Linked DNA regions of Struthio camelus. The protein of the gene in region 2 interacts with the protein of the main gene of each other region in a pairwise test. Links are inferred from orthologs where the notes say so. Each region holds a gene or a part of one and is shown on either strand. Other genes may lie near its edges.

The links.
Region 1: the proteins of DVL3 (region 2) and CSNK1D interact in binary tests that used the Homo sapiens proteins (3 or more experiments, as listed by UniProt). The two-hybrid records come from large-scale screens. The link is inferred for Struthio camelus from reciprocal best matches to the Homo sapiens genes DVL3 and CSNK1D.
Region 3: the proteins of DVL3 (region 2) and TNFAIP8L1 interact in binary tests that used the Homo sapiens proteins (3 or more experiments, as listed by UniProt). The two-hybrid records come from large-scale screens. The link is inferred for Struthio camelus from reciprocal best matches to the Homo sapiens genes DVL3 and TNFAIP8L1.
Region 4: the proteins of DVL3 (region 2) and PITX1 interact in binary tests that used the Homo sapiens proteins (3 or more experiments, as listed by UniProt). The two-hybrid records come from large-scale screens. The link is inferred for Struthio camelus from reciprocal best matches to the Homo sapiens genes DVL3 and PITX1.

Annotation. Positions count from the first base shown.
Region 1 is NC_090960.1:59,291-66,407, forward strand, and holds the start of CSNK1D (casein kinase I), read left to right. Parts: upstream 1-4,105; 5' UTR 4,106-4,520; coding exon 4,521-4,596; intron 4,597-7,117. UniProt on the Homo sapiens protein: Essential serine/threonine-protein kinase that regulates diverse cellular growth and survival processes including Wnt signaling, DNA repair and circadian rhythms. It can phosphorylate a large number of proteins.
Region 2 is NC_090950.1:22,511,111-22,518,008, reverse strand, and holds the start of DVL3 (segment polarity protein dishevelled homolog DVL-3), read right to left. Parts: upstream 3,005-6,898; 5' UTR 2,920-3,004; coding exon 2,753-2,919; intron 1-2,752. UniProt on the Homo sapiens protein: Involved in the signal transduction pathway mediated by multiple Wnt genes.
Region 3 is NC_090967.1:4,560,484-4,567,944, forward strand, and holds the start of TNFAIP8L1 (tumor necrosis factor alpha-induced protein 8-like protein 1), read left to right. Parts: upstream 1-4,454; 5' UTR 4,455-4,791; coding exon 4,792-5,089; intron 5,090-7,175; exon of another isoform or gene 7,176-7,315; intron 7,316-7,461. UniProt on the Homo sapiens protein: Acts as a negative regulator of mTOR activity.
Region 4 is NC_090954.1:4,282,903-4,290,740, reverse strand, and holds the start of PITX1 (pituitary homeobox 1), read left to right. Parts: upstream 1-4,823; 5' UTR 4,824-4,914; coding exon 4,915-5,451; intron 5,452-7,838. UniProt on the Homo sapiens protein: Sequence-specific transcription factor that binds gene promoters and activates their transcription. May play a role in the development of anterior structures, and in particular, the brain and facies and in specifying the identity or structure of hindlimb.

The DNA.
Region 1 (7,117 bases), on a different chromosome or scaffold from region 2:
GGGTGGCGGGAGAGGGGAGAGAAGAGAGGAATGAAAAGGGAAAGGGATACAGAGGCAGTCAAAGGGATGGGGTGGGGTGGGGGGAAGAGAGGAATGGAAAGGGAAGAAGGGTTTGAGAGGCAAAGGGATGGAGAGAGAAAGAGAGGGATGGGGAGCCAGATGGAGGGGAGAGGAAGACAGTGATAGTGAGCTGGGCAGGGGGATGGAAACAAGGAGGAGAGGAATGAAGACCCAGACAGATGGACAGGGAGCTGGACAGAGGGACAGAAAGAGAGGGATGGAGGGCCACACAGATGGACAAAGGGATGGACAGAGGGATGGGGAGCAGGAGAAGAGGGATATCGAGGTGAACAGCGGTACAGAACAAGGAAAAGTGGGAAGGGGTGCCAGATAGAAGGATGGAGCAAAGACAAGACGGTTGGGGAGACAGACTGAGGGAGAGAGTGATAGGGTGGAAAAGAGAGGTGAACAGAACAGCAGCACGGCAAGAGAATAAGAAGGATGGGGAGCCAGAGAGAGTTACAGGGCACCAAACAAAAGGGCTGGGAGTGAAGGAGGGGAGGGGGGGAGACAGGGAGCTGGACAGTGACAGGGAGAGGAAGAAAAGGTGGAGAGTTGGATTTGGGTCATTTGGGCATTAGGAGGAGCTTTGGGCAGGGTTTTTGGAGTATTTGGGGTCTGTGGGGTCACCACAGTCACACTGCGGGCAGCAAGAGGGACCCCAATACAGCATGAGCTACGTTGACATCCAGCAGTGCCAGCAATGGAGCCGAGCGGGTTTTGGGCTGCCTGGCCAGGCCTTGCTGTTTCCCTTAATGGAATCTAACATCATTTGCATTAATTGAGAATAAATTGCAGTCAAGGGCTAGCTTGTGCTTATCTTACTGGGATGGGAACATGGAGTGCTGTGACTCTACAAAACTCAAACAGGAGACTGAGTCTGGCCAGGACAGTGAGAGACATGGGATGCTTTCTCACTACTGCAGACTAACAGACAGCAGGAGTGGCCTGGATTACACACCCACAGCCCTGTGCCTGAGTCACCGACTCAGCAAAGAGGTGTTTGATGTTACTTGAGCCACAACAGGAATCAACAGGATTCTCCCTCTGCTGCTGATCGCCTCTGCCAAGCGTCATCCAGTCTTTGGCACCTGTAACATTGAACAAGACACACAATTAAGACCTTCAGCCTGCTCTGCCATACGTGTATTCTCCAGTAAAACTGTATGTTTGGAATTTCCCCATCGCTATCCAGTTATTTGCATAACAAAATGTCACTCAGTTACATACAAGACTTTAATATTTCTTCTATGCATCTGTCTTCCTGCTTCTCCAATTACAACTCCCAAGTAATTAACCTGGGGTGGCAGTAATTGTGTCTTATTCAAATTGAACTTTTACAACTTTTCTCACGCTTCTTCTGTAGCTCCAGTCACAGGAATATAACTCAGTCAAGACCCCACACAGCAGTCTGTAGAACCAACAGCTTACATCACAACCCTGTTTCACCTTAATGGACACTCACTTTGTTCTTTCACACAGACAGGTACCAGCTGATCCTAGCTGATCCTGCTACTGGAAAAAAACAAACTCAGAAATCACTTCATTCTGCACAGTAAGCCTCTTCCCTCAACCAATTCTTGCCCCCTAGATTTTTCTGGCCTTTGCATTAGCATCTCTTGCCGATAACTCCACCCTTTGGCCCATTCTTCCCACGCAAACATCCTCACTCCCGAGAAACAAGCTCCTTTCTGTCCATATTCCCTGCCATGCCTCCCATGCAGCTTCCCACACTTTGCTGAACTCATCCCAGGGTTTCCAACAGAGTCACTGTTCCCTCAATATACCCACAAGCACACTGGTGAAAATCAGGGGCACAACCTGGAAACTCCATCAGTCAGCTGTGACCGACAGTTCTACTCCTATCTTCAGCTCGCCTCCTACTGCAAAAGAAACAAGGCCAAGACTGGAGGAAAAAAAGACATTTCTTTAATGCATTACATACAGCCTCCTGTCCATTTCCATTTCCATACTAGCACCGCAGCTTCCTCCGCATGCACAAAGTTGTTTACCTAAGCAGGAACCAACGCAGCTTGCATTTTCATGAACACAAGTAGAGCCCCTTGCCTCTGCCATTGCGCCCTAAACCTTCACTGCCTTATGTAACTTGACGCGACCCAAGCAATTCACAATTCACACCTCAACCTGTACATGTGCTTCATTACCCCAACTAACAGAGCTCTGTTTCCTTCCCTGTCTCTGGTTGTCGGCCTCACTTGACCTGACTGCATATGTGCTTCTGCTACTAGTTCTGCCCAGACAGTCAGGACACCCGTAATGCCAAGGGCACACAGAGTGCTCCCCGATGCGTACAACAAGAAGGGCACTACTCTGCTTTTATCCGTTCTAGCACGTACCACACAGCATAGTTTTTCCTCTTGGCGTAGGACGTCGCGGGGAACCACGATCATCTCAGCACTGCCACGGGCCAAAACCCAGAGATCCCATGCATGATAGAGAGACGGCTCAGTAAAAAGATTCCTTCTAGTTTTGAGTCTGCAGTGTTCTACAAGCACTCCCTGAGCAAAACTGACACGTACTTGCACATGATTTCCATAGGCACTAACCACCTTGTTCTTCCTATCAGGGAATAAAAAACGCTCATTTTTTTCTCCGTATTATCTCCATATTTCTCCATAGCACATTATCCCAGCTGCCCTCACCTAGCCCTAACCTTCACCTGCTCACAACCCAGCCATCCTATGAGGCCATGCTCCCTTTCCACCGCACATGACAGGACAATCCCCAGGTCACCCAGATGACTCTCTGTGACAACACATCCTGACTAGAAACCAATTGTTCTGGTATTCGATCATTCTCTATGAAGCAGGACCCAGACTTTGCTCGTGCAGGGAAAGGCACCGTATACTCTGCCCTGCAACTGATGAGGCAAGATGGTGCCGAGAGCTGCCTAATGCATGCATCCTCTGACTCTACTGCTCACTGTGCACTTACACTGCAGGCTCTTAACAACTAAAACACAGGTAGCCATCTAGACTAGTCCTGCTGCTCAGCTCCACTTCTCATCTCTGAGCAGCATACTGCAGCTCTTGCTAGACAGGCAGCTGCAGCTTAGGCCTGGCACACAACTCAGGCATCACTGCCCACGCAGTTGGGACCTGCCGCACCACCCAGGCAGAATGAACCCAAAAACCCTGCAATTCAGTAATATTAGTGGCAGGAAGCAAGTGTCTCCAAGATACAGGCTTTACAGTTTGCTCAGTTACAGGAGAGGGAAAAATTCTCCCTTGCCATTGCACATGGACAGTATATGAAACAACTGTAGTAGGTAGTCAGAGGCAGTCAGAGACTCTTTGCCAAGAAACCTACTAACCGTTACTTTCCATCCCTCTGCCACCCCACACCTCCAGCACATACACCATCCTTAGCACTCCCAGTGCTCTTACATCACAGTCCACTGTCATCTGCAGCCCAGCCATGCTCATTCAGCAGCCCCTGTGCTCACACCAGGGGCTGGCTTCACAGTCTATCTCTTCACTTGCAAATGCAGCTCCCTAGGTGCCATCAGACAAGGCTACTTCTTGATTCATCCAATTTAATAGGACCACTGGCCAGTCAAAAGCAGTGCTTTCAAGCAGCATTGCTGCAAGAAAACGAGAAAATAGGCCTACAGAAACACACTCTCCCACCACTCGTCTCCCACACCCGCACAGACACAGGTGGTTCTCCCCACTCAAGTCACCCTCTACCCCCCAGAAGGCCACAGAAGTGGTCCAGACACTGTTCACAAGCAGGGATGACTCAGATCGCCGTTTCACCACTGAAGTTGGCAGGGCCTGATGGACATGACTCAGACTTTGCTCTAGACACCGCACAGTCACACCAATACTCCTCGGAACCCAGTTCAGCACAGCCGGACTGCCACCTCCACCGCAGAGCCTCCCACGTCTTTACGGAAGAGGGACGCGGCAGGCCGCGGGCCGCTCCCTCCGTCCGGCACGGCCCGACGCAGGCCGCTGGGGCGGGGCGGCCGGCCCAGGGCGCGGCGCGATGCGATGCGGCGCGATGCGGCAGCAGCCAGTGGCGCCGCGAAAGACTCCCCGCGAAGGGGCCTCACGGCCGGCAGCGGCGGCCGAAAACAGCGCGGCAAAGACGCAGGGGGACACGTGACGCGGGCCGGCACCCGCGCGGCACGGCTCCTCGCGCGCGGCGGCGCCTCCGCCCTGCCTGCGGGCGCGCCCCACCCCCGTTGCTAGGGAAGTGAGGTCACGCAGTATGGCGGCTCTGGGCCGCAGGGGCTGAGGTGTCGGGGCTGTGGGGAATCCGCGTCCATCCTCCGGCGGAGCTGCGGCGCTGGTGCCGCCTGCCTCGCCACTGTCGCGCGGCGGGACCAAGGCCGCGATGGCATCAGGAACCGTAGGGCTGTGAGCCGGCAGAGCGCGAGCCGGTAGGGTGGACAGGGCAACCGGGCAGGATCGCGGACGGAGCGAGCTGCCGCTATGGAGCTGCGGGTCGGGAACCGGTACCGGCTGGGCCGGAAGATCGGGAGCGGTTCCTTTGGGGACATCTACCTGGGTAAGGAGGGCTTACCCGGGACATACTTGGCGGGTCTGTCGCTCTGTGGAGAGCTGCGTGAGCCGGGCCGGGCCGGGCCGGGCGCTGCTCGAGCTCCCGCCTGCACCCTGCCCCCCGCTGAGGTTGGGTCGGGGGCTGCTCCCGGGACCTCATTTCATTCTCGCTGGAGCACAGACCAAAAAATGCCTTTCGATATGAGGTACCTTGCCGCTGGTGCAGTAATAACTTAATTTTTCGTTGGCGTCATGTCCTAATTTAGACAGTGCGGAAATCGGGACTTCTGGATTATATGCCTGCCTCTTCCCATTGTTGTCTTGTGACCTTGGGCACCGTCAACCTGCTCATCTGTAAAACGTGGATAAGGATATCAATCCCTTCATCTGAAAAACCATTCAGAAAAATGTTTTGAAATAGAAACGTGACCCTCTGCAATAAATATAATTGCAGTGGACTAGGAGAAATTGCTGTCACAGGGAGGATTATGGTTTTCCAGTGAGGCCTAAACAAATGAGATAACTAAGGATGACTAGATTGGAGCTAAAAACATTTTAACCCCTTCATAGAATCAGCATAGTTCAGCTATCCTGTTGCTTGAATGTTGCCCTTACATCTTAATGCATACATCTTATTCTGCTACCGTGATTTCTATGTGACTGTAAAGTTTGCAGGACTAGGACTGTCTTTTCCTGTCTGTTTTTGTAGCTTTCCATCCTAGTGGTTCACTAACCATTTGATAAGCAGCGGTGTGTACAACAAGTTCTGAAACGTGTGTTTTTAAAACACTCCGTTCTACAAACCATCAAACCTTAGGAAGTCAGGTAAATCCAGACAAATGTAAATTTTATATACTGCCACATGAAAGTGAGCATTTTGCTTTTGAAAGTTGTGATAACTTTCAGAAGGCGCATCCAAAGACATGGAAAAAGACTTACAGGAGCCATGGTAGGTTATCTGCATATGTCTGGAGGGTAAAAAGAATTAGTCACTGGCTAATGCATGTAGTATATTAGGCAGTATACCTAGTACATGAGCTGTCTTTTTTTTTTTTTTTTCTAGACAACAGTGCTTTGTATTGCAGCACACAGTTGCCGTTCTGAAATAACGTTAGTGAAAGCTACTTGTTTACGTTACCCAGATACTGGTTATCCTTGATATAGAACATATGCCTGCTGGAAATTCTGTGTTTCTAGCAGAAAGCTTGTGGATTGTCTAGAGGCAGAGAACATCATTCTTTCTCTCTCTAAGGCTTATGTAAAAGACTGAAGACTGCTGTGAGAACAATGGTGATAAGGCTTATGCAAAATCTTTGTTGGCTACCTTTAGGGTTTTGGGTGGAGATTAAGACAACAGTTAAAATCTGAAAAATCTTAGCTGACCTGGGATACTCTTACCTCAGTTTTTGACTACTCAGGTAAATCCAGTCACATTTAAGTACGGTATATTCATACTTTAATTTGTAATCCAAATTAACTGATAAAAAGAAATCAGGCAACTCTGTTGTTACTGTCCTGTGTGCGGTAGCTAGATTGGAAACGATAGATATTTTGTTTGTCACTTTTATCTTCATGCGTAGAGCCTACACTAGAAAAATTGCACAGGAGATAATAGTTCTGTATTTATTAGTACAGAGCTACTGCCATACTGCATTTTGCACAAGAATTGCTCATCCTTAGATTTTATCCTCTTTGATCTCTGAGGAGTCAGTGTGGATTTGCTTTCGGGGCTTCCTGCAAATGTGATGATTGAGTCAGCAACTAGTAGAGAATTATGTGTCTGAGAGATCCAGCTAATAGTATATATTTCTTTTTCCAGGGGTAATTGCTGTTTCAAGAACTGAAATGTGGCAGTCTTTTATAGAGGCCCATTTTGTTTGCTTAACATAATCTATTAAAACAGAGGTTATTTTTAAAATCTGTGCTGTGTGTGATATGAAACATTTAAAACAAAAAAAAAATAAAGTTTACTCAGTTATTCAAACTGTACAGTAGGGCATAACTACATTAAAATAACTTTTTAAAGCCTCTCAGTTCTCATTAATTTTCTGAAGTACAAATGATTTCCAATATTCCTCATCAGATTTCAGGTTCCCAATTTAATTTTATGCTTAATTCCCCCCCCCCCCCGCCATTTTCCAGTCTTCCTGTAGTTTCTTTAATGAAGTTACAGGGGGTTGAAGACAGTCCATTGAGAAGAGACGGCTCTTTCTTTATGTCTTTTCTTTCAAATATAGAGCTAACCATTCCTGATTATCACACTTCTTTCATAATCTTTCCCATTCTCCCCTGCACCTCAAAATGTGTCTTCCGGAATTTGGAATGCCCCCTAATTGGTAGGGTCCTACCATTCTACCACAATAATCTTAGGCACTATTTTAAATACAAGAATAGACAAACCTAGTGAAAATAAAATTTAGGAATGTAATGTACCTGCATCTATTAAGATTACCCTCCAGTGGAAGATATGAAAGAGTAGCACGAATTACTAGAAATTCTAAATAGTACGAAACAAGGGGCACCATACA
Region 2 (6,898 bases):
TCATCATACAGGGCTTCACCAAGGAAAAGGTTCCCCACACGCGGCCTCAGGGCTTAAAAGGCCTTCCAGATACAGGCGGTAGACTACGTTCACCTTCTCTTCCAGAGTCGCTAATTTGTCCCAGAGGAATTAGTTAAGTTTGTCCTAACAGAATCTCATCTCATACATTCCTGCCACATCTAACCTCACTGGGTCTTCCTGAATGATTTCTCTCTCCCAACTGGTACTCACAATAACTCCCTGCACTGCTTTATCTTTGAGTGTCATTAATCTACCATCTGCCTCCTCTTGTGGAGCCTTAAAGAAACAGAAGAGGATAAAAAGGCACAATGCAGAACTTTGCTGCCACCAGACCCCTCTTCACAACTCAAGACGCTGCTATTTATTACTAAACTTTGTTTATAGTTACACAGACACTCTCCCACCCACATGGCAATGTTTCATTCAAGACAAGTTCGAATTCCCTTCAAGAACAACTATTTCAAAGGATCCCAAAAGCATTTGTTTACAAACAGCACGCACGGAGAATTTGACTAACCCACCAATGAAACACGGTCTCCTCCAAGACAGCAAGAGGCAGCTGTTTCATAGCGCCCAACGCTACTCAACAGCTGAGGGACAGGAAATGAACAGCAGACAACTGATATTGCAGAGGAAATTTATGGAAAATGAGGGCTGTAGACTTCTATTTGCCTGGAGAGAACGGGAAAGCTTTTTTGAGCACTCAAGCTCTTCTCTGGTTCAGGAGGAATTTAAGGAGGCAAAGCGTCCCAGACTGTGGTCAAAGGAATAACTCCTAATTTCAAGCCTCATCTGAAAGCTGGCACCTCCAGAGCTAACAGGAACCTGGGCACTGAGATAAGTTGGCTGCAAAGGGGTGAGCACCCCCTACTGAGGCAGCCACACGGATTTCCATCCAAGCACTGAACAGGCCCAGCCCTGTTTAACTTTCAGAACGAGCCAAGATCACAGCCTAGGGAGGTATTTGGCTGCAATAGGAAGACACTAGGAAGACTATAAAACTGAAAGCCTTTTGCAGGCCCAGCCTCCATACACAAGACCTACTGTAAACACTAAATCTTATGAGGGGAAAAAAACCCAGAGGAAGAAGGATCATGCAACTCTGTCAAATACCAAAGTGCTAGGAATGGTGAAGGGTCACATGCTGTGGAAGCCAAGAGGAGCTACGTTCCCAAGACAGAACTGGAGCTCCTGAAAAGAGCTGGAGAAGAGTCAGACGTAGGAAGACGACCCTGGGCAAAACAGAGCAGGGACAAAGGGTTCTACGTTAAATTGAGTTCATTTGGGACTCGTTCCCCAGAACAGATGCTGACTTCACACAGGTGGGAGACAGCAGAGGCTCCTCGGAAAATCAGTCTGTACAATCCTCCAAACAAGAAACAGAGAGCAACTCCTCACCTCCAAACAATCACGCATGATGGAAGGAGCCAAACATTGCCACAAAGAAGCAATGAAAATAAGGATGTTGAAGGAGAACTGCCCCAGATGATACAGGATGCGAGGCAGGACTGCTCACCTCTTCCATACAGACCCATCCCAGACATCAAGCAGAGGACATCCTATCCCTGTACGCACCCTCCTCTCAGAGATGGGGTACATGTGGGGAGCTCTCATCCACTTTGCACAGAGATAGGGAAGGAGAAAGCTAGTTCCTTTTATACATCCTTCCTAAGGATGAGGTGGGGAGAAAGAAGCTGCCATTTGCACTCCCCAAAATAGAGATACCAGAACAAAACTTCTCCTAATCCCCTCCCTGCACAGGGTTTATGGAGGGAGCACTGCCTTGTTCTCTCCACCACAAAGGGTGCAAAGGGCACTGTCCCCAGACAGGCACAACAGGAGATACCCAGGCCCTTTAGATAGGGCGTACAGGGGGAATGACAATCCCCAGTAGGACACACAGGGGGATGCCACTGCTACATACCTCCAAGGTGGGGTGCACCATGAGGTATGCTCTCAGACAAGGGGCTGTCCCGCACACAGTGAGCAGGGGGATCCCCAGATGGGGTGCACAGCACGATGCTGTTCCCTAGCTGCCCTCAGACAGGGTACATGGGGGTTCCAGCCCCACAGAAGATGAAATGGAGAATACTGCTTCCAGTCCTCCACAGGCAAATTAGAGGAGCAGCTTCCCCCCCAACAGTGCACTTAGAGGGGGGCCTCTCCCCAGATGCAGCAGGAAGGGGCTATCAACCCCAGGGGAGGTGCATGGGGGGGGGGAACCATCACCAGTCCCCCCAGAGACGAGGCAACGGGGGGGGTTTACTGCCCTCAGGCAGGGTGCACATGAGGGCCCCCTCCCCACACCCGGCACAAGGAGGGCTGCTGGCCCCAGAGGGGGCACCGCCACCAGTCCCCACAAAGATACAGCAACAGTAGCTGGGTGCGCGTGGGGGCTCCCTCCCTAGACAGGGCACAAGGGGGCTGCTAGTCACAAAGATGGCGTATGGGGAGGGGGGGCACCAGCCCCCACAGACAACTATATGGAGGGGAGAAGGAAGAGAGCTGCCCCCAGACCCCATGCGCGGGGTGGGGGGGGGGGGGACGGGCTTCCCTTCCAACATGGGGCACGTGGAAAGGGAAGCTAATCCCAAACCCCAGCCTCCCTCGCAGGGGGGCACCGCGGAGCCCCTCAGCCGGGCCCCGGGGGGGGAGGGCGGGGGGGGGTCCCCGCAGCCGGGCTCCTGCGGCAGCCGCCCCCCGCCGGGGCCGCGGGCTCGGCCGCGCTCACCCGAAGTCGTCGTCCATGGACTTGAAGTAGAACTTGTAGTTGGGCCGGTTGAGGAGGCCCTTGAAGTCGCCCAGCGTGACGCGCTCGGCCGGGATCGGCAGCTTCACCAGGTACGGCGTCTCCTGCTCGTCCAGGTGGTAAATGATCTTCGTCTCGGCGGCCGCCATGGCGCCCCTGCCCGGCCGCCAGGCCTCCTCCTCCTCCTCCTCCGCCCCCGGCCCTAGCCCCGGCCCGCGACCCCCCGGCCGCCGCCGCCGCCTCAGGCCTCGGCCCGGCCCCGCCGCGGCTCCCGGCCCGGCCCCGCGCCCCGGCCCGGCTGCGGCCCCGGCCCGGCCCGGCCCCGCGCCCGCCGCCCCGCGCCCCTTGTTCTGCGGGGCCCAGCGCCGCCCGGCTCCAGAGCGCAAGCTCGGGCTCCGGCGGCTCCTCCTCCCCCGGCCTCCCGCCCGCCCGCCCGCCGCCCCGCCGGAACCGGAACCGGCACGCCGCGGGCTCGAAGCGGCGTCCCGAGATGGGCCCCGAGCTGAGCCGAGCCGAACCGGGACGCCACCCGGCACCCCGGGCTGGGCCCGCACCCGGGGGTGCCCCCGGAGCGGGACGCGACCCTCCGAGCCCTGGACGCCCGCTTACGGCGTACAGGGCACAGGAGGATCCCGCTACTTCCCCTGCCCCTTATCGCCGCGCCGTGCCCTTCCCTGATCCTCAGACATCAGGCACTGCAGTGCCCCTTCAAGTTTCCCCAGCCTCAGTTCCCTCACGAGGCAGCTCTCCCAGCGCCATCACGTCTCTCCCTACTCTGCTCTTCGCAAGCATCCTTTTTTCCACATAGCGCAGCCTCTTTGACCGTGCAATATCTGCTCTGAAAGCCCCTTGGCTCCATGGGTTTCTTGCCATCGTCTCTCTCATGGCACACACTGCTCCCCAAACCCTAGTGCTCTCCTACCCGCAGTCATCAAGGCCTGTGAGCCTAACGCCAAGGACTTGCATCCCAGCAATCTTGGGCTGGCTAGCTGGCTTCCCCTCTGGACACCCCACCAGCATCCCACAGCGCACTGAGGGACAGGTCTCCAGCAGCGGTTTCCTGGAGCTGCAGCTGGGAGCAAAGCCGGGGCTGGATGGAGCTTGGGAAACGCTCGCCACCAGGCAGGGCAGGAACAGCCTCACACTGACCTGGTTTGGCAGGAACAGCAAAGGTAGAGGAAGAACCACCTGTAGGCCCCCACCAGCAGCCCTTGGAGCCAGACTCACCTGGGGTAAGAGGAAGGGCAGAGAGAGCTTACAGGGAGCAAGGCCAACCTCCATGGCAGGCAGGTGTGAGCCGCCTCATGCATGAAAGAGCCCTGTAGGTGTTGCCAGCAATCATCTGGGTAGCAGTGGTGGATGGGGTCAAGAATCTGACATTAAAAAAAAGTATCAAGAAAAGACCTCAGGTAAGCAGAAATTCTAACAGGCTTGAGGACCGCTCATATTTCCACACTGGCTCTTGGAAGAGTGTCACTTTCTCATGCTCAGAGCTCCATAGTAAAAAAAAAAAAATGGTGTACTTGGAAAGAAGAATCCAGGTCAGGAATGGAAGGATTTAATTTAACCTGTCTCTTGCTATGTCAATTTCTATAGCTGTCCTCCAAGGTTTAGGGGGTCCTTAACTTAATATTCAGGGCCACAGCAGAACCATTGCTTCTCTAACTGGGATGCTGTTTGCCAGAGTAAAGGGAATTTGCTGCAGGAGGCCCTGCTCACCCTGTCTAGATACCTAGGTAGTTGCTGCAATGCTAGCTTGCAGGCCAGTGCCCTGGGACTTGACAGAGAACTAATGTAAAGGTCCTTTTGCAACACCTCCCTGTCACAAAAGCTAGGCCCATGTGAAATACTAGCACTTTTCCCTTGCTAAGCGCCAGGGCTGCTCTCTTGTCCCCTTTTGCAGCTCCTGAGCACAGTTGCGGCTGCGCCCCAGAGCCTCTGTCAGATACGTTAGACATCTCTGTTGCCAAAAGGACAATTTTCTGAAGCGTTGAGCTCACAAGGGACCACATACAGCCACAAGGTAAAAGGAGGGGTGCCACACACCCATAGAGCTGTAGGAGACCAAATCCCACACTTGCATCGGTAACAAGGGCATTATTACAGCTGCCCTTTTTCTTTTAAACAGGCCAAGTGATTGAATACACTCAGCTGATAGATTGATTTAACTGCTTGCAGAAGTCTTGTGAAGTATGACTCACTCTTAATGAATGGAGGTAAAGAACACAGCGCCAGAGAAATTAGCAGTAGGGGACCAGGCTGAGAAGTCTAGGTCCACAAGGAACAGTTTCTCAACAGCCTGTTGGCTTATATCTACATTTGAAAGTCACAGCACTGATAAGCACTGCTTCTCCTTACAGCGTAAATGGGCTCCAGGCATTTTAATGCCTGGAAACTTGCTCAGAACAGCCTGATGCAGAGATGGACGTACTTGACTTCCATCCCTTTTACCTTTAAGCAATGGTTTTTTTTTTTTTTTTTTAAATAAAGACACACTATTGTTCAGCTGAAGTTATGGGCTTGCTACAGGAACCACCAGGTGAAATCCATCCATCCCTGTTAGATGGGATGTCAGACAAGGTGACTACTCTGACAGTTCTTGGCCTTAGGGGGGAAAAACAAAACAAAACAAAAAACTGCAAAGAATGAATCTACTTACATCGCTCAAAAAGACAGATAATAAGGACTGCACAGTCAAGGTTGCTCCCAAAGGCATTTCTGCTGTTCCAGCCAAATATAACTTTTGATCGAAAGCAACAGAAAGCATCAAGCCCACCCTACGCTTAAGCAACCAGTGCTTCTTTAAAAAGGTATACACTTACCCGCCCTTTAAAAACATGGATGCTGCACTATGCCAGAACTCCATCTTGGGGAATATCGAGTATTCTACTTGGAACAGTCCTTTTTCGCTAATGGAGTCTCAGCACCTATAAAATAGTATTGTGTATGTGGTGGAGGCTAAGTCCTGAAGGATAAGGGTTTTTGGCTATAGGGTACCATTCGACCCTTGATCTCAACCTCTGGGTAAGAAAGTGGCTCACATCATGAACAAGTTGGCCACTATGAAGCAAAGGAGTCAGGAACATGGAAGACACAAAAGTGGAATTATTACTTGGCACAAAGAATCAAGAGCCTCTCACTAAAACAAGCCATTTATGGAATTACAGCTTAAACCTTTTTTTTTTTTTCCTAAACAGCTTAATCTGATTTTTTTTTTAAACCAGCTTTATATTGTAAAAGCAAAAAAATACCTAAGATGTCTGGGGAGATTTTAAAAGCATTTATAAACCAGCTGTGAGACTCAGGAATTTTTAAAAGAGCTTTGCAGCTGCCCTTCCCCCTCTCCACCAGTTCTTACTCTCCATCACCAGGAGGGCATGGTGCAGCACACACAAGCCAACATTCCCACTAATTCTCATCATGCCAAAGGATAGCAGGTTTCATAGGATTTAAGGTTCATCTTTGTAACATAACCCTGTACAAAAACAAACCTCAGCCACTTCAGGATTCTGAAGTTCAGCAAATTGTTCTCTATTTGTAGATGGTGAGGTCATGAGCTACCATTGAGCACTTATGACAATTCAATGGGGTGTTGATTTCCTACCTGCCTATTACGTGCTTGAAATCTCTCAAGAGAAAAGCAGCTATGTGTTATTTAGCTTACCCGTAAGCCCTGCTCAGGCATATGCCACAACTGGAGACATACAATTCAAGCTCAAACAAGGCAGACAAGCCACTAACACCAGGATAGTTTTTATTTGCTCCCTGAATTAAATATTGGCAGATACAGAAAATTCAGATACCAACCAATTCCCCAACATTTACAAGACTGAGTTTGCGATGTCAGAAAACAAGCGCATTTACGAACAATCCTGGCAACTGATACTGTGAGTGCACAAGATCGCTCTTGCCTGAACATCAGTTTAAGAGGCAGTATCCCTGGCCTCCAGCATCCAACATTGTCCCCTCACTGACAACTGTGGCACCACGGAACGGCCAAGTAAATATCCTGAGTGGGCAGCTCCAGTGCATTTCCCCCAAGGGATTTATTCTATGCTCCTTCTGAAGGGGCAGAGGCAAGGTCAGCACATTCAACATACAACCCCCTATCAATAAAAGCTGATTCTC
Region 3 (7,461 bases), on a different chromosome or scaffold from region 2:
GGATGGGAAAAGGGGGGACAAAGCCTGGAAAGGGTGAGAGCGGGCGCCCCGTGGGAAACGCGGTAGGGACCCCCGCAGCCCCGACGGCGGGGGCCGAGGCGGCACCCACCCGAGCCCCCCCCCGACCCGGACCCCGCGCGTGGAGCGGGAGTGGGGGGGGGGGGGGGGGATGTCCCGGCCACACCGCCTTGGGGACCCCCCCCCCCCCCTCCGGCCGCCGCAGACCCAGCTCCCATTGGCTGCTTCGTAGCAAGCCCCGCGCTGCCATTGGCAGGCGCCGCCCGGCCGGCACCGCCCCCTGCCCCGATGTCTCCGACTTCTGCCCCGCTCCGATACTTTGTAGCAGCCGCGGGCGGGGGGGGGGTGGGGGGAGCCGGAGGCACCGGCACCGGCACCGGCACCGGCACCGGCACCGGGCACCGGCACCGGGCACCGGCACCAGCCCGGCCCAGCCCTTCCCCTCTCTTTTCTCCCCGCCTTTGCGATCCCGCCCCCCCCTCGCCCCGTCCCGTCGCCTCTGGCCGCCCCCGGCACTGGAGGACGCCTGGCCCGGTTCGGCCCGGTTCGGCCCGGTTCGGCCCGGTTCGGCCCGCAGCGCCGCCCCCGCGGCGCAGGGCGCAGGTAAGGGCTGCGCGGCGGCGGCGGCGGCGGCGGCGGCGGCGGCGGGGGGGGGGCTGGCGCTCCGGGTGGGCGGGCGGCGGGGGCGCTCGGAGCCCGGCTGCCAGCGCCGAGGCCCGGCCGGCCGCGCCTCCGGCCCCTCGCTCCCCGCCGGCGGCCGCGCCGGCCTGACTTCCGAGGCCGGGAGCAGCCGCTCCGGCTTCCCCCTCGGAAGGGAGAGCATCCCCGTCTCCGCATCTTTGTGTCCTTGGGGTGCAGGCTGGGGCTGGGGTCTCGGCGGCCTCAGCACCCAGGCATCTCCCCCGCGCAGGGGGTACAAGGCGGGGGGTCTTCTGGCCACCCAACCCGCCGCTCTTGCCACGAGACTTGGCCGCTTCTTTAGAGGGGCGGCGGGTGGCCCACCGCCTGGCCCTCTCCTCCTGCCCGAGTTGAGGCGGCAGCGGTCAAGCCGCTGTCCGAGAAACCAGGAGGCCCCGACCCGTCTGCGCCTGGCCGGCTGGGTGCCCCGGACGCCTGGGTCCGGGCACGGCGCGCACAGCGACGCACGTGCTGTGCCCACGCTGGGGCGTCTTCTCCTTGCCGCTCGGGAGGAGAGGAGAGGGGCTGGGGGACCTCTAAGAACCAGAGGTGCTAGGGAGGAGGAGACGGGGATGACCAAGGATTCAGAAAGCACCAAGAGGCTGAAGCTCTTTGGTGGGCTGAGCCCTGGGCTGGTGCTCGGCAGCTCCTGGCTCCGCTTTCCGGCTGGGCCTCCTGGGGGTCACGCGCGGGAGAACGGCAAACCGGCTCGGATGGAGAGGGGGGTTATTACGTTTCCCGTAAAGGGGAACCGCCACCTCTTGTCTCCTTTCCATCTCACGATAATTATGGTCGGGAGCTTTTGTTTTCGCTCTTGGGGAAGCCGAGGAGGGGTGTGAAGCGGAAAGTGGCAACTCGCGGGCTGACAACAGGATGTGTTTTTGTGCACCACACCTAACTGGCCTGCGGAGAGCATCGGCCGCGGGAAGTCGTCGAGGGCGAGAGCTCTGCGGCTCCCAGCTCCGCCGAATAAACAGCGGAGCCGGCGGCACGGCTGACGGGAGTTTCGAAAGGTGGTCTCCAGGCCTCTCTCCGGAGAGGAGGCGCGAGGGCTCCGCTCCGTCGACCTGCCCGAGGCCCCGTCCTTGCAGCTCCCGTCGCCGGGGGCAGGACTTGGCTCCGGTGCGCCGCCGGCCTGTCCCACGCGTGCTCGTTCCTTGGTGCCTAAACTCCCAGGAGCGCTCCGTTTCCCTCGCGCGTTCAAGGGCTCTGTGTTTCAAACGACTGAACTTCTGCAACCCCCGAGATACGAATCCCCTTGGGCTGATGGGGAAACTGAGGCGGGGGGGGGGATCTCCCCAAAAGGACTGCTCGATAAGCCGATGGCAAGGCTGGGTATAAAACTTGCCTTTGCTGACTCCCGCTAGCCAAAGCTCTAGCGGCTTCAGAGCAGACGGAGAGGTTTGGGGAGGAAGGACCGGAGCCATAAAAGTTATTTATTGACTTGAAAGGTGGCGGCGGGTGGCAGGGATGGGGACCTCGCCGCGCTAGGCGCAGCAGGACCGTCCCCGTCCGCATTAGAGCTGCGGTCGGCGAAATGTTTCCTTGCTCTCCGAGCGGCTTTGTCCGGCAGCCGCAGCTCCCTCGGCAGGAAGCGTGTGATGTGCCGCTCGGCCGAGGTCCCCGGCGCTGGGAAGCAGGATGGAGCGAGGTCTGGCCTCCCTTTCGCCCTCCGCTCCCCCGTCGAAGCGCTGCCTCCTCCTGAGCCAAGGCGAAAGGAAGTCGCTGCAGGGGAGAACTGTCGATCCCGACCCGATAAGAGGAGGAGGAAACAGAAGGCGAGACACACGCTCCAAAATAGCTCCGCTCGCCCTCCTCCCCGCGGCGCGGCCGGGCCGGCCGGCTGCAAGCTGGGATGCTCCGGCTCCTGCGGCGCGGGAAGGGCGATCCCGCGAGGTTCCCGCCGCAGCTCGGCCCTCTCCCCTCTTCCCAGACGCGAGCAGGGGGAACGTCCAGGGCCTCGCAGCGGGCCCGGTATCCTCTCCATCAGCAGACGACGCCGGGCCGCGCTCTCCTCCTCCGGGCTGCCTGCCGACAGCCCCCGTTCCCACCAAGCGGGATGCTGGGGGCCGCCACGGGAGCCCCCCGGAGCGGCCGGCCCCCTTCCCTGCGCAGGGGCCTCGGAGCTGCCGGGGCAGAGCACCGGTCCCAGGCTTTGGTTCAGCTCCGCGTGGGATTTTTTTCTTTTTTTTAAATTTGGACCGAGTCGGATAGTCAGCAGGCCCGGCAGGCTTATCGGCGGCGCTGGCTTCGTTACGAAGGAGAAACCCTACCGGCTGTTTCGGGCGGCTTCTGGTTTCCACCCCGCTGCGTGGGCTGGCTGCCTGCGCGCCTGGGTGCGGCGAGGGGCTGGCAGGGCCGGCAGCCGTGCAATGAGTTGGCAAGGCCTCATCCCTACCAGCTCTTCGCTCCGGGCTGTCACGGCTCCGTTAAATCCCGCCGGCGGCAGCCAGCCCAAAGCGCCCGGCGCTCGCGGGGCAGGGGGGGTGCGCGGCGGAGGAGAGCCGACGTCGCGGGGCTGGTACAGGCGCTCGTTCCCGGAGCGTTTCTGCCTATCGAGGTGCCCGAACGCAGCCCCGCTGCGGTAACCCAACCCAGCAGCAGGGTTTAATTAATTAATACTTATTGGCTAGTGGGGCACACGGCGCTGCAAAGCGATCCTGGAGGGGGAGAGCCAGGGACGGAGGGCAGAGGAGCGGTCTCAGCCTCGGATGGCGCTCTCGAGCCGAGCCGCGCGTCTCCCTGCGGCTTTGGCGGCGGGGGGGAACTCGTTGCAGCGCGGGATGGAGCCGGGCGAAACGCGGGGGCTTGAGGGGTTGCGTTAACCCGGCCGTAACGAGGAGGAGGAGGAGGAGGCGGCGGTGGAGGCGCCAAGCCGTTCCCCTCGCGCTGCGCGCTTGCTGTGCGCTGGCCCATACATTATTTAAGTGCTTCTGTGTTCCTGCATGAAATATTCAGCCGGCTGCCAGGGGAGCTGGGTGTTGGGGGGGGCTGGAGAAACGCTGCCCGTTAGCCGGTAATTGGGACCTGGAAACGCGGGAGAGCCGGGGGAAGGCGACCGGCGGGGAGGCAGCTCCGGGCAGGAGGCAGAAACGACCCATCGCGGCTGGCGGGGCCGGGACGCGCCGCTCGATGCCCGCGGCCGCTGGCGAGATGACAGGGTTTCACGTTCCCCCCCCCCCCCCCCGCCTTTGTAGACAGCGCCTTTAATTGATGCTTTCTAACGAGCGGGCCGGATCCTGCTCGGGCTCGCAGCAGCAACGGCGGCCGGCGCCTCCTCCCGCTTCCCCCTCCGCGGCGGACGGGGCGGGGGGGGGGATCGGTGTCCCCGCGGCGGGGACCCGTCGGGCGTTCGATGAGCTGCTGTCGCGCAGCGGAGCTGCAGCCCCGGGTGCCGGCCTGGCGGCAGGGGCCGAATCCGGACCGGGACGCGTAGGTGCAAACAGTGCTGAAGGCAGAGGGCAGCCGGGGCGCTGGTGACGCGGCCGGCTTTGTCCCTCTGCTCCTTTCACCTCCGTCCGAGCGGCTCTCGGCCGTCTCCGCCGAGCTGCGGCCAAAGCGAACCCGCAGGCGGGATGCTGCTCGCCGGGTGATGGCCGCTGCGTGCCGGAAAGGGAAGCGGGATGTGCAGGGCTCTGCCAGGCTCAGGGCTGAGCGCCGGGCCCTGGCCAAGCCTCCCATCATCGCTGCAGGTCTCGCCTCCGAGACCCTTGTTCTTCTTGCTAGGGCTGGGATTCCTGGAAAACAGGTGGGGAGAAACCAAAAGACGCGGCTGCGACGGCGCGCGAAGCCTCGGTTCAGGGGCTGCGGCCCCGTCGCCGGCCCGGCCGCACCGCGCTCTTCCGGAGCTGCGACGCACTCATTGCACAACGGCGCTGGGCTGCTGGAAGAGGCTGGTTTTTGAGGACGTTTTTCATTAAAGAGGAGAAGGGAAAAAAAAAAAAAAGAAAACCCCAAAAAAACAAAAACTGAGGTCGGCTGGAAACTTCAGCGACAGGAAGGAAATCTGGTGGTTTATTTCAGGCGCGAGCCTGCTCTTTGGGGCAAAGCTGCCTCTTCCGGGCGCTGATAACGGCGGCAGCCCCTCGGCAAACAATGAGGCCAGGAGGGGCCGCGGGCCGGCAGGGCCTTTCCCGGCAGGAAGACGTCTCGGTCCCATGGAAATCTCCCGTTCTGCGTGAAAACAGCAGCATCTGGCCGTTGGGAAGAGCAGAGCGTGGCGGGGAGGGCGCTGGGTGCAGGGCAAGCGGGATCCAGCGCCCTGGGAGGCGAGCTTTTCGATTCCCGCTTACTTTCCCAGCCCGCTGGAGAGAGAATGAGCGAAAACTGGGAGCGAACAAGCTGCAAAAGAGCCCACGGAGGGGCGAGAGCGGGAACAGATTGCATCCGCCCGGTCTGGATTCTCCCCTGGGGAAAAGCCTCCCCCCCGTGCCTCAGTTTCCCCCCTCTGATGCCCATCTCGGGCCAGGCGTGCAGGGGAGAGCCTGTTATCGTGGTTGCTAATGGGGCGCCGCGGGTGCGGAGGGCAGCTAGGAGAAGCTGGTATTTCCTAGGTTTTTACAGGCTCCGTGGGTGAAGTTTGCGCTCGGTTTAGGGCTGCGGTTGCCCAACAGAGAGCTCAGGCGTGGGAATTTCTATTTTTACGGGCGCTGCTGGCTGCAGGGGAGCCCAGGGCACCTGCAAGGCAGGACCGGGGCCGGGCCACGCTGCGGCCGCTGCCCGCGGAGATGCTCCTAGGGCGCGAAGGCAGCGGCAAAGCCCTGCTTTCGGGCAGAGCCGGGGGGACCGGCCGCTCGTCCCCAGGGCAGAGCGCATCTTGGGTCACGGCTGCCCGTGCGCGACGTGGTTCGTCTCCTGCCGCCAGCGCCGGCGTCTCGCTCGGCCGCGGCTCCGAGCGCCGGCATCGCGGCTGGTCCCCGGCACACGGCAACTTCTCGGCCTCGGGGTTCCTGTCCGTAGAGGAAAAAAAGGTTCGGCGTGAGCAGGGAGAGCTGCAGGGCTGGGAAATTCCCCTCTTCTCCGGCGGGGAGAGAAACTTCGGACGTGGCGAGCGATGCAGAGCCGCCTTCGCCGGCGACGCTGCCTCGCGCCCTCCTGCCCGTTCCTCCGCGCCCGTCTCCGACGGCGTCTCCCCCGCGGGTCCGTCGGGCAGAAAATGAGCCCGGCCCGCCAGGGAGCCGCCTGCGGCTCTGCACAAGCAGCCTTTGCTTTGTCATCTCTGTATTATTAAGCGCGAGAACCTCAGCTCAAAGCTCATGCTGGCAAAAATCAATGTTTTCACATAGAAGGAAATAGTTACAAACTTTGGTGTTTTTCCTAAGGGCTGTAAATAACGCCACACGCGGCAGCTTGCACGGTGCCATTTTCAATGGCTCCGTTACCGCTCGCTTAATTTATATCCTCGCGCGGCCTCGGCCGCCTTCCCGTCCTCGTGCTCTTTGGCAGGGGCTCGGCGCCGGCGGCAGGAAGGCACCTGGGAAGCCGGAGCCCGGCTCGGCCCCCTGCACGGCCGCCCGCTGCTCGGCCGCGTCCCGGGGCACACGAAGGCGCTGCCGTCGTGTTGCCTCGAGGTGTTTCCCGCGTCCTGCGGGGCTGGCAGGAGCTCGGTGGCTGCCTTCTCCTGGGTCCCACCAGATGGTCCTTTTCGGGGATGCTCTTTCGAAGCCCTCTCCCTCCCGCGGCTGCTCGCGGGCTCACTTGCGCTCACCAGGAACCCTCCTCTCCTCTCCAGCCCGAGCGCGTTCAGGGCCGATTTACCCCCATCCGCTCTCACGCGAGCAACGTCCTTTAGCGTAAATAGCTCTTCTCCCTCCCCGGTGATGTATTTATAGAGCCATCGCATCCCTTCTCCGCTCTCGCTTTGCCAGGCTGGCCGCGCCACGTGCAGCTACTTGCATAAGCAACCTGCGTCTCTGCCCATCCATCCTAGCGCGGGAGCTGGTTGGTATCATGCTGCTCTTACATCGCTGTGATTTGTAGCACAGCGATTTCCAGGGGCAGGACATATCTCCAGGGCCAGCGGCGTTTTAGTCATTCGCATCAGTTTTTAAAGCCGTAATCTGCCCAAGCGGATTGATTTGTCTACGCGAGTCGCGCCCGGGGCCTGTAACTCGGTCTCTAGGTGAGCAGGGCTCGGAGAGCTCTGACTCGCGGCGTTTTTCACCTCCGAGACAGGCTGCCGAGCGCCGCCGGCGCTTTCGCAACGCGCGCGCGGGCCGCGGCTTTGAGGAAGTCGAGCCGGTCGCAGAACCAGTCCGGGCTCCGACTGCGTGGGCGGCGTACCCGGGGCGGGCAGAGCCGGAGACAAGGGCTTTGAAGCGGCGGGGCACAAAAGCGAGCAGCGGGAGCGCGCCGCTTCGGTGGGCGCCCGAGGAGCGGCGACGCCGGTGGCCGCTGCTCCAGCCCCGGCGGGAGCTGGGCCGCCCGCGTCCTTCCCAGCTGCGGCGGGTGATTCATAGCTCCCCACCTGCGTCGTCCTCGTCTTGCCCTGCAGGAAATGAGTCAGGTTTTAAGGAAGATGCCTTACAACGATGGGGTGAGAGCCCTTCCTGCATAGGTAGGGCCGCAACACCGGCGGCAGGAGGAAAGGCAGGATACGGGGCTCGTGAGCCTTTCTAAGGTAGGGAGCCTTCTCTTACCTCTAACGTTGCACCTGCGTTCGACAGCGGGCACCCCGTCCCTCTGGCCAGCCCGTCGCACTGTAGTTTTTCCCAGAATTCAGGGGAAAAAAGCCAGGAACAGCCTAGAAATCATCCTCCGAGGAGA
Region 4 (7,838 bases), on a different chromosome or scaffold from region 2:
GTGAAACCGAGCAGAGAAAATAAAGAGAAAAAGGTCCTTTCACTAGGAAGAGTTACACCCAGGGTCCTTCCCCCACCCCGGCAGCACCCCCGCCGGGACCCCGGGCCGGCCCTGCCCGCGCAGGGCGCAGCGCAGCGCAGCGCGCGTCGGCGCGGCCGCCTCCGCCGAGGCGAGTGGAGCGCGGAGCGCGGCCCGGGAGCCGGCGCGTTTCCCACGAGCGTCTGCGCCTCCGCATGGCGCTTCGTGTTTTCCCCACGGGGGCTGATATTTTTTTTTCCTTCTGCCGTGGCGGAAAGCTCCGAGGCCAAGCAATTTCTTTGAGTTTTTCCACCTCCCAAAACATCGAGGTGTTTCCTTAGCGTCCGGGAAGGGCCCCAAAGGCCAGCGATAATCACGGCCTGCGCGCAGCACTCTGGGCACCTGGAGACCTGCCCTGCTTTAACCCCCCTGGGCGGGACAACGGCCGATCCCAAATGTCACCGGGTTTGGCGGCTTTTCTTTCCAAAGGGCCGCCCCACACCTGGCCGTGCAAAACAGGGCACGCTCGGATCATTGCAACGGGACAAGGCCCCGGAGCCACCGCCGGGCCGGGAGCGGGCAGCTCCGGACCGACGGCCCCGCCGACGCCGCCCCGGGCCCGGCGCGCTCGGGCTCGCATGGGCTGCCCAAATCCGGGGGGGGAGAAGCGGGTTTCTCCCGAGCCCTTCCTTACGGATTGCCCCGGCCTCCGTGCTTGAAAAGCCTCCCAGGGCCGGAGAGCCGCAAACACCCCTCCGGAGGGTCACCGGGAGTTCGCTGCGGGAGGAAAATTATTTGTTATTAATAACGTGCTGAAAGATGATGTGATGGGAGCGCTCGCGCTGCAGTTGTTGCTCAGGCACAAATCTCGGCGGGCCTCTGCGAGCGGGGCACGGCGGAAGGGCCGGCCAGGGCAGAGTTCCTAACTATTTTTATTATTAATCCGTCAGTGAATATATATATATGTGTGTATGTATATGTATGTATATGTATACGTATGAAAAATAAAAACTGTTCACACACAAAACCCAGGAGGCGTCCGGAAAAGAAATTCCCTCAAGGTTGGAGGAATGTGCTCTCCGCGGGATTAAAACTCGCGGCTGGGTCGCCCTGCGGCGGGGCGGGCCGCGGCGCTGCGCGGGGCGCGTTAGCTGGCCTGCGAGGCGCGCATCCCCGCGCAGCCGGGCTCCCACGAGGCTGGGCAGGCGGGGTGCCCATGGAGATACCATGCTGCGCAGGGGCGCAAACTGCGCGCCGCTGCCCCGCCGCTCTGGACAGGCCCCGGGGCGGAGGAGGGAGGGTTCGCGCGAGTGCGGGACCTGCCGTCGAGGCTGGCGCAGTCGCCTAGCGTGGGGGAGGGAGGGCTGGCACTGCGCGGGGGCGGGCAAGCGGGTAACCCCCCTCCGCGCTCCTCCGCGCCCCACTACGCACAGCACTCGGGAGCGGGGGGGGGGCCGCCTCCTCGAGGAAAAATACCCCAGCAGGCCGGGGGGAGGGGGGGGGCTGTGCGGTCTGTCGCCCCCCAGGCTGGCGGCGGGCGGGGACTGCCCGAGCTGCTCCCCGCAAAGCCGGGAAGAGTTTTTTACCTTCCCATTCGTTTCTGAAATATTTTTTTAAAAATCGCTGAGTTTGGGACAGGCTAGGGGTGGGGAGGGCGGGGACCCTCTGGGCAGAAGGACCGGCGCCTGCACGCCGGGCAGGGCGGCGGGGCAGGGCGGGTGCCCGCCGGGGGGCCGCGGGCCGCGGCGCGGCCGCGCAAAGGCGCGCACATCGGCGGGGAGCGCGGAGGCAGGTCCGCCCGCGGCCGGGCTGGGCGAGCGCTAGATGGAGTGATGCATTAGCGAGACGGGGAGGTTTTAACCTTCAGGGGGAGGAGCCCCGTTTAACTACAGGCATTTGTTCTAGGGCAGGTCACTTTAATCTCTTTAGCTTTAAACTGTCCAACTCGCAACTCGCGTTTCTCTATAAGGGATCTTTACCACTTTCCTGCCTATGCGGCCGGACTGCCGTGCCTCTCCTCGAGCAAAGACAACCAGCTTCGAGGCATTGCCCAGATCTCTTCTTCTGAAACCCTTAAAATAATACTGTTAGTAATAAGTGGATTTGCTTTTGTTTTTGTTGTTTTTTTTTTCTTAAAACAAAACCAAAAAAAAAGCTCCTTGTTCCTTTCTGTGTGGAATAAACACCTGCAAAATCCCCCAGGCAGCCCGGCGCCCCTGCCATGGATTCCTTTAAAGGTGGAATGAATTTGGAGAGACTGCCCGAGAGCTTGAGACCCCAACCCTCCCATGACATGGCTTCCAGCTTCCATTTGCAAAGATCCTCGGAGCCCAGGGACCCGATCGAGAACTCGGCCAGTGAATCCTCCGACGCGGAGGTGCCAGGTAACCCGCGGCCCGGCCCGCGCCCCCCGCCCGCCGCGGCTCCGCCGGCCGCCCGGCCCGCACCGCTGCCCCGCGGCGCCGGGGGGGCAGCAGCCACCGGCTCTTTCCCTAATGAGCGCAATTAATTGGAGGCGAAGTGGAGGGGGGAGGGGGGGCGCGGGCAGCAGCCGCCTCCGCCGGGCCCCGCGCTGACAGCCGCGGAGCCGAGACACATGGCTACGCGCCCCAGCCCAGGAGCGGCTTTTTTTTTTTTTTTTTTAACAGATATTAATTGATCGGAGAGAAGGGAAAGGCGGGGGGCTCTTCGGGGAGCGCGGTTTTGCCGGATGTTTCTGAAATAATGTCAGCTTTTGCCCGGGTTTATTTTCCAGCTCGGGTGGTGCAGACATGTAAAAAGATCTCTCTGTCAAAGGAGGGGGGAGGAAAAAAAAAAATGTCCCGCCGAGGAAGAGAGGCGGCGCAGGGCCGCGGCGGGCCGGCGCAAGCAGCGCGGCCGGCCGCGGAGGGATGTGCGCGGCCGCAGCGCGGCGGGGAGCGCAGGGGGCTCCTGGCGGGGCCGCGGGCTCTCCGAGGGCTCCCGCACTCCCGATCGACGCGTGCAATTATTGCAGGGAAAGCTGTGGTTTCCCAGTTTGTATTTCATTAGAGCAGCAACATTTCTAGGATGACAAAGCAGGCTGCGAGCAGGAAACAAAAGCTGAAGGAAAGAGCGTGAAGTCTGTTCTCCGCCGTGTCTCTTGCAGGAGACGCTTATATGTCATGCCATTTTATTTTTTTATAGTTGTTGTTGTTCTCAGTTTTAGCAGGTCCTATAATCTCTAGAGTGGCCGCGGCACGAGTCAATCCCAAAGTGGCACACGGTGATAAACAGGGTCTGGTTTGTGCCTGCCCGTCTGATTCGCAAACAAAGTTAGGGAGCGCTCAGCCCGGAGTCTGGAAGGGACTCCGAGATTAGAGAGGATTATTTGAGATTAGAGAGGGAGATTTGCTCCATTTTGCCGTACCCCTATATGTGACCCCTCAGTGCTGGAGGAGGGCTAAGGACCTGCCTACTTTTCTACTCCGAGAAGTTACAAAATACTTTTCACATTTTCTTTTCCTTTTTTTTTCTTGATGGAAGAAAGGAAACAAATGCCAATCAAATCTAATGTGTGTAATGATTTGAAATTGTACCAGAGCCCTGCTCGGTGGCTCGATTTTTAATGAAATCATGGCTGGGCTAAATCCGGAGAGAGGTTTGCAGTCGCCTGGATGGATCACCGCTGCCGCTGCAATGGTTTTTCCTGGGTTTCGCCGAGCCCTTCCCAGCCAAAAGAGAGAGAGGAAGGGGAGGGGGGGAAGGGGTCCCGAGCAGTATTTGTGTTTTCCGTGAACACCTTCGGTTTCTGTTTCCGCGGCCCTGGCCGCGGGGCCGTGCGGGCTCGGCCGGTCCAGCCGGCCGCAAGGCCGGGGCCGGCGGGGCAGCATCTGGACATCAGGGAAATCCTAATGGGGTTTCTCTTGCAGGCCTTGTTTGCTCTGCAAACCACTTACTGCAGATAGAGGCCATCCGGGCGGCAATAAGCCCATTTACCACTTTGGGGTTTCCATTTAAGCGTTTGAGCTCGCTCTCTCTCCCTTTTATTACGGAGGGTTCCCAGGCAAAGGCCGATTAATGGGTGACTTTGCAAGGACGAGCCCGCCGCGCCGGCCGCCGAGCGGGGTTTGCGTGCGGCCCGCGGGTGTTTCAGGCTGCCGGTTACCTCGCAGGGGTCGCGGCTGCAGAAATGCCCCCGGGTCTGGCACCGCCGGCCGCGGAGCAGCGAAGGGGGCACAAGCCGAGGCGGCGGAGCCGGCCGGGCGCTTGCGAGACAGGCGTGCGCGGCGCGCTCTGCTCCCGCGGAGTTTCACTTCTGCTGCAGGCCCAGCCGGGCCGAGCCGGGCCGAGCCGAGCCGAGCCGAGCCGGACCGGGCCTGGGCCGCCACCAGCCCCAGAAACCCGCGGCCGGGGCCGCACCTTTCCGCGCTTCAGCCGCCGCCGGGCCCAGGCCGGAGAGTGTATTTAGTTCAGGCCTTTCAGTCCCTTTCCGGGCGTCTAAACCGGGCCAAATCTGAGATTTTGGGTGAGGAGTGCTGGAAGGGCTTTTACGAAATGAGTGAGGGTTTTTTGCCCCCGTTGCTGTGGGGTCGGGCCTGGATTCCTGCCTCCAGTCCTTGCAAATCTCGATCACTAAAATGCGGCTGGGCTTTTTTGATTTAGCTCTTTCGATACGTTTTTTTGCGGAGGACTACGCTCAGCTTCGGGTTAAAATAAACACTAAAATCCTAAAAGCAAACCAAAAAAAAAAAAGTGGAGGAGTAGAGAGGCAGAGAGAGAGGGTGCCTTTTGCAATCAATTACTGCTGGGTTTTGCGCCCCTGCCCTTCCAAAGTTTCCTGTCGCGGCCGAGCACAACAAAGACAATGGAGCAAAGATCGCGCCGTAGGTTTAAAGGAGGAAAAAAAAAAAAACTCGGGGAGGGGAAGAGAGGCCGATGCTGCAGGGGACCCGCTCCCTCCGGGGCGGCCCTCGCCCCTCGGGCCCTCTCCGAGCCGGGCAGCCCCCACGTCCCGCCGCCTCCCCGCCGGGCTCGGGCCGAGCAGGGCACCGCGCTCCTGCCGCGGCCGCGCCGGGAAACGCCGGGTCTCGCTGCGGGGCTGCGGGCGGCTGGCTGGCGGGGCCCCGCGTGGGCCCCCCCGCGTGTCCCTCCGGCGGGCCGGGCAGGGGGCTGCGGGCCTGCCTTTGTGTGTCTGTATTTCTGTTTGCAAAAACACAACCAAAACAAATCAAACCCAACCCCAACCCCAACCGACACCTCACCGCAGAAAAGGAGCGAAGCGGCGAGCAGAAAAGCGAGGACGGGGCCGCCGACGACCCGGCGAAGAAGAAGAAGCAGCGGCGGCAGCGGACCCACTTCACCAGCCAGCAGCTGCAGGAGCTGGAGGCCACTTTCCAGAGAAACCGCTACCCGGACATGAGCATGCGGGAGGAGATCGCCGTGTGGACAAACCTCACCGAGCCCCGAGTGCGGGTAAGAGGGGCGCGGGTGACCCCGCTCCGCGGCCGCGGGGTGCTGCGGGCGCCGCTGCGAGGACGCAGCGCGGAGGCAGCTGCCGGCGCGGAGCATCGCGGGGGAGATCGGCCCTTTCGGGAGCGCGGGGCCGGCGGGGGTCTTGCGAGCAACGCTGGGCCGATGTGGGGTTTATTTTAATTGCAAAACTTCGGGTCTCGGCCGAAGGAGGGGAGACCCTTCGCCCGGCCGCGGGGATGCCGCCCGGAGCCGGGCCTGGGGAGCCGGAGGGGCACCGCGGCGAGGCCGGCCACGCCGGGGGCTCCGCCACATCATAGCCATGGTCATAATGATAATAATAATATTTCAATAAACTGCTGCTTCACGCACTTTTGGCCGTTGCGTCGCGGCTCAGCTGCGCGGTCCCTGCGCGGCCCCATCCTCGAGGCCGGACGAGCTCTTCGCGCAGCGGCGGCGAAGCCCCCGCGGCCGCGCATCCTGCGCGCCCCGGGTCGGCCACCCCCAGGCCGGCAGGCCGGTTTGTTTGCCGATGCCGCCGATGGACAAACCGAAGGACAAGGGCCGGGCGGCGATTGCACTCCAAAGTCAATAAGCGTGGCGGACACATACTTGCAAGGCGAAGGTGCCTGGCCTGGCTCTGTCTGAGAGCCGATGCCACCTCGGAGCATGTGTAGCCACGGCAGTTGTTTGAAGAGGGAGGTTAACGTGCGCGGTATCTCCGCAGCGCACGGCCAGATCAGAGCCGCTCGGCCTGGATTGATCCTTAGACTTTCGGCCCGCCGTGCCTCGGCCGGCACGCTTTCCCCGCCTCCCCTTTGCTTTCCTCCCGGGATATTTCCGCGGGTGGTTTCGGGCATCGGCGGTCGCCCCGCGCCCGCCCGGGGCCCCGCGGAGGGCGCGCGGCTGCGGCCCGCGGGACCGGGGCGCGAGGAGACGGCGGGTCTCCAGCGCCCGCATACGAACTGCCGGGGAAAACGGAGGTGCGCGGAGCGCTGGCTGCCGGGCACAGCAAGGGAAAAGCTACTTTTGTCTTGGCAATTAAAAGGCGAGTGACCAAAGCAGATCGCGGAGATTGTGTTTTGAATCTCCCCGAAGTAAACAGCCGTTGCATCTGAAAGCATTGTCTTAATTGCATTTAAACAAAACAAAGCCAGGGAGAGGGCTAAACTGCGTTAATATTGCTGGAATACTTCAGGAAGCAAATAAAACTAATATACGAGTTGCCATTACCATTATTTCGTTCTCCCTCTGTATGGAGATGTTTTGGTTTGATGTTCCGAGATTGCAGCTTGCAAATCTAACCTTGATTTGCTTTGAGGGCCTTACTTTAAAATGTCTAGGAGCCATAATTAAAACTATTACCCTCATTTTCAGGAAATTCCTGTCTGGAAGCACCTTCCGAGGAGTGAATTACAGGTTTTGAACATGTTGGCTTTCGTTTCCTCTTCGTATTTATATGGGATTCTGTTTTCTTCTTATTATTTTTTTTTTCAATAGACCCCGCCATTCTTTCCCTCGAAGTTTCCAGCCCTGCGATCGGGGTTCACTAATAGTTGCGCCATCCCTGTGCCGGGAGGCGAGGCCCGAGGAGCGGCCCCGGGGCCGGCTCCGGCAGGCGGAGGGCGGGCGGGCGGCGCGGGCTGCGGGCGCGGGGAGCGCAGCCTCCGCGGGGCCGGGCGCACCGAGGGGCCCGGGGTCTGCGGGGGGATGCGGCAGCGCTGAGCCGCCGGGCACGGCGATGCTATTTTTTTTAACCTGGAAAGAGAATTGGGGGCTGCCCGGCGCGGGCGGCCCTTCCTGCCCCGGCTCACGGCTCCCATCACAGGGGACTCAAACAGTTTCCTAGGGCTAAAAGAAAAAGAAAAAGAAAAAGAAAAAGAAAAAGAAAAAGAAAAAGAAAAAGAAAAGAAATAGAGAGCCTGTATCAGGTTTTTGCATCAAACACCAGGAGCGGCCCCCGCTTCTCTGTTCCCTAGTCAGGGCTGTAAATTCTCATTAGATATAAAGGCAGAGGCTGCATCCATCCAAGGGCGATGCAGCGACTGATTTTTTTTTTTTAAACCTAAACATACTAATCCAATCCCCCTTTTTATGATCTGTAACAGGGGACTTTTATTACACGGCATTAGCATGGGGAAACACGGCGGAGCCGGGGCGAGCCGGCCCTAATCAGCACGGGCCGCGGCTGCGCCCCGCTCCTGCGCTCGGCGAAGGGGAGCGGAGGGGGCCGCTGCGCCCCGCGGGGAGCCGCGGCCAGCGGCGCGATGCGCACACGCGGCTCGGGGCAGCCCGCCGACAGCCAGCTGCTGCGCGCACAGCCGCAGCCGCGGAGGGATGCGCGCAGGGGCAGGGGTGCGCGCAGCGCCCTGGCACCCCGGGGCGGGGAG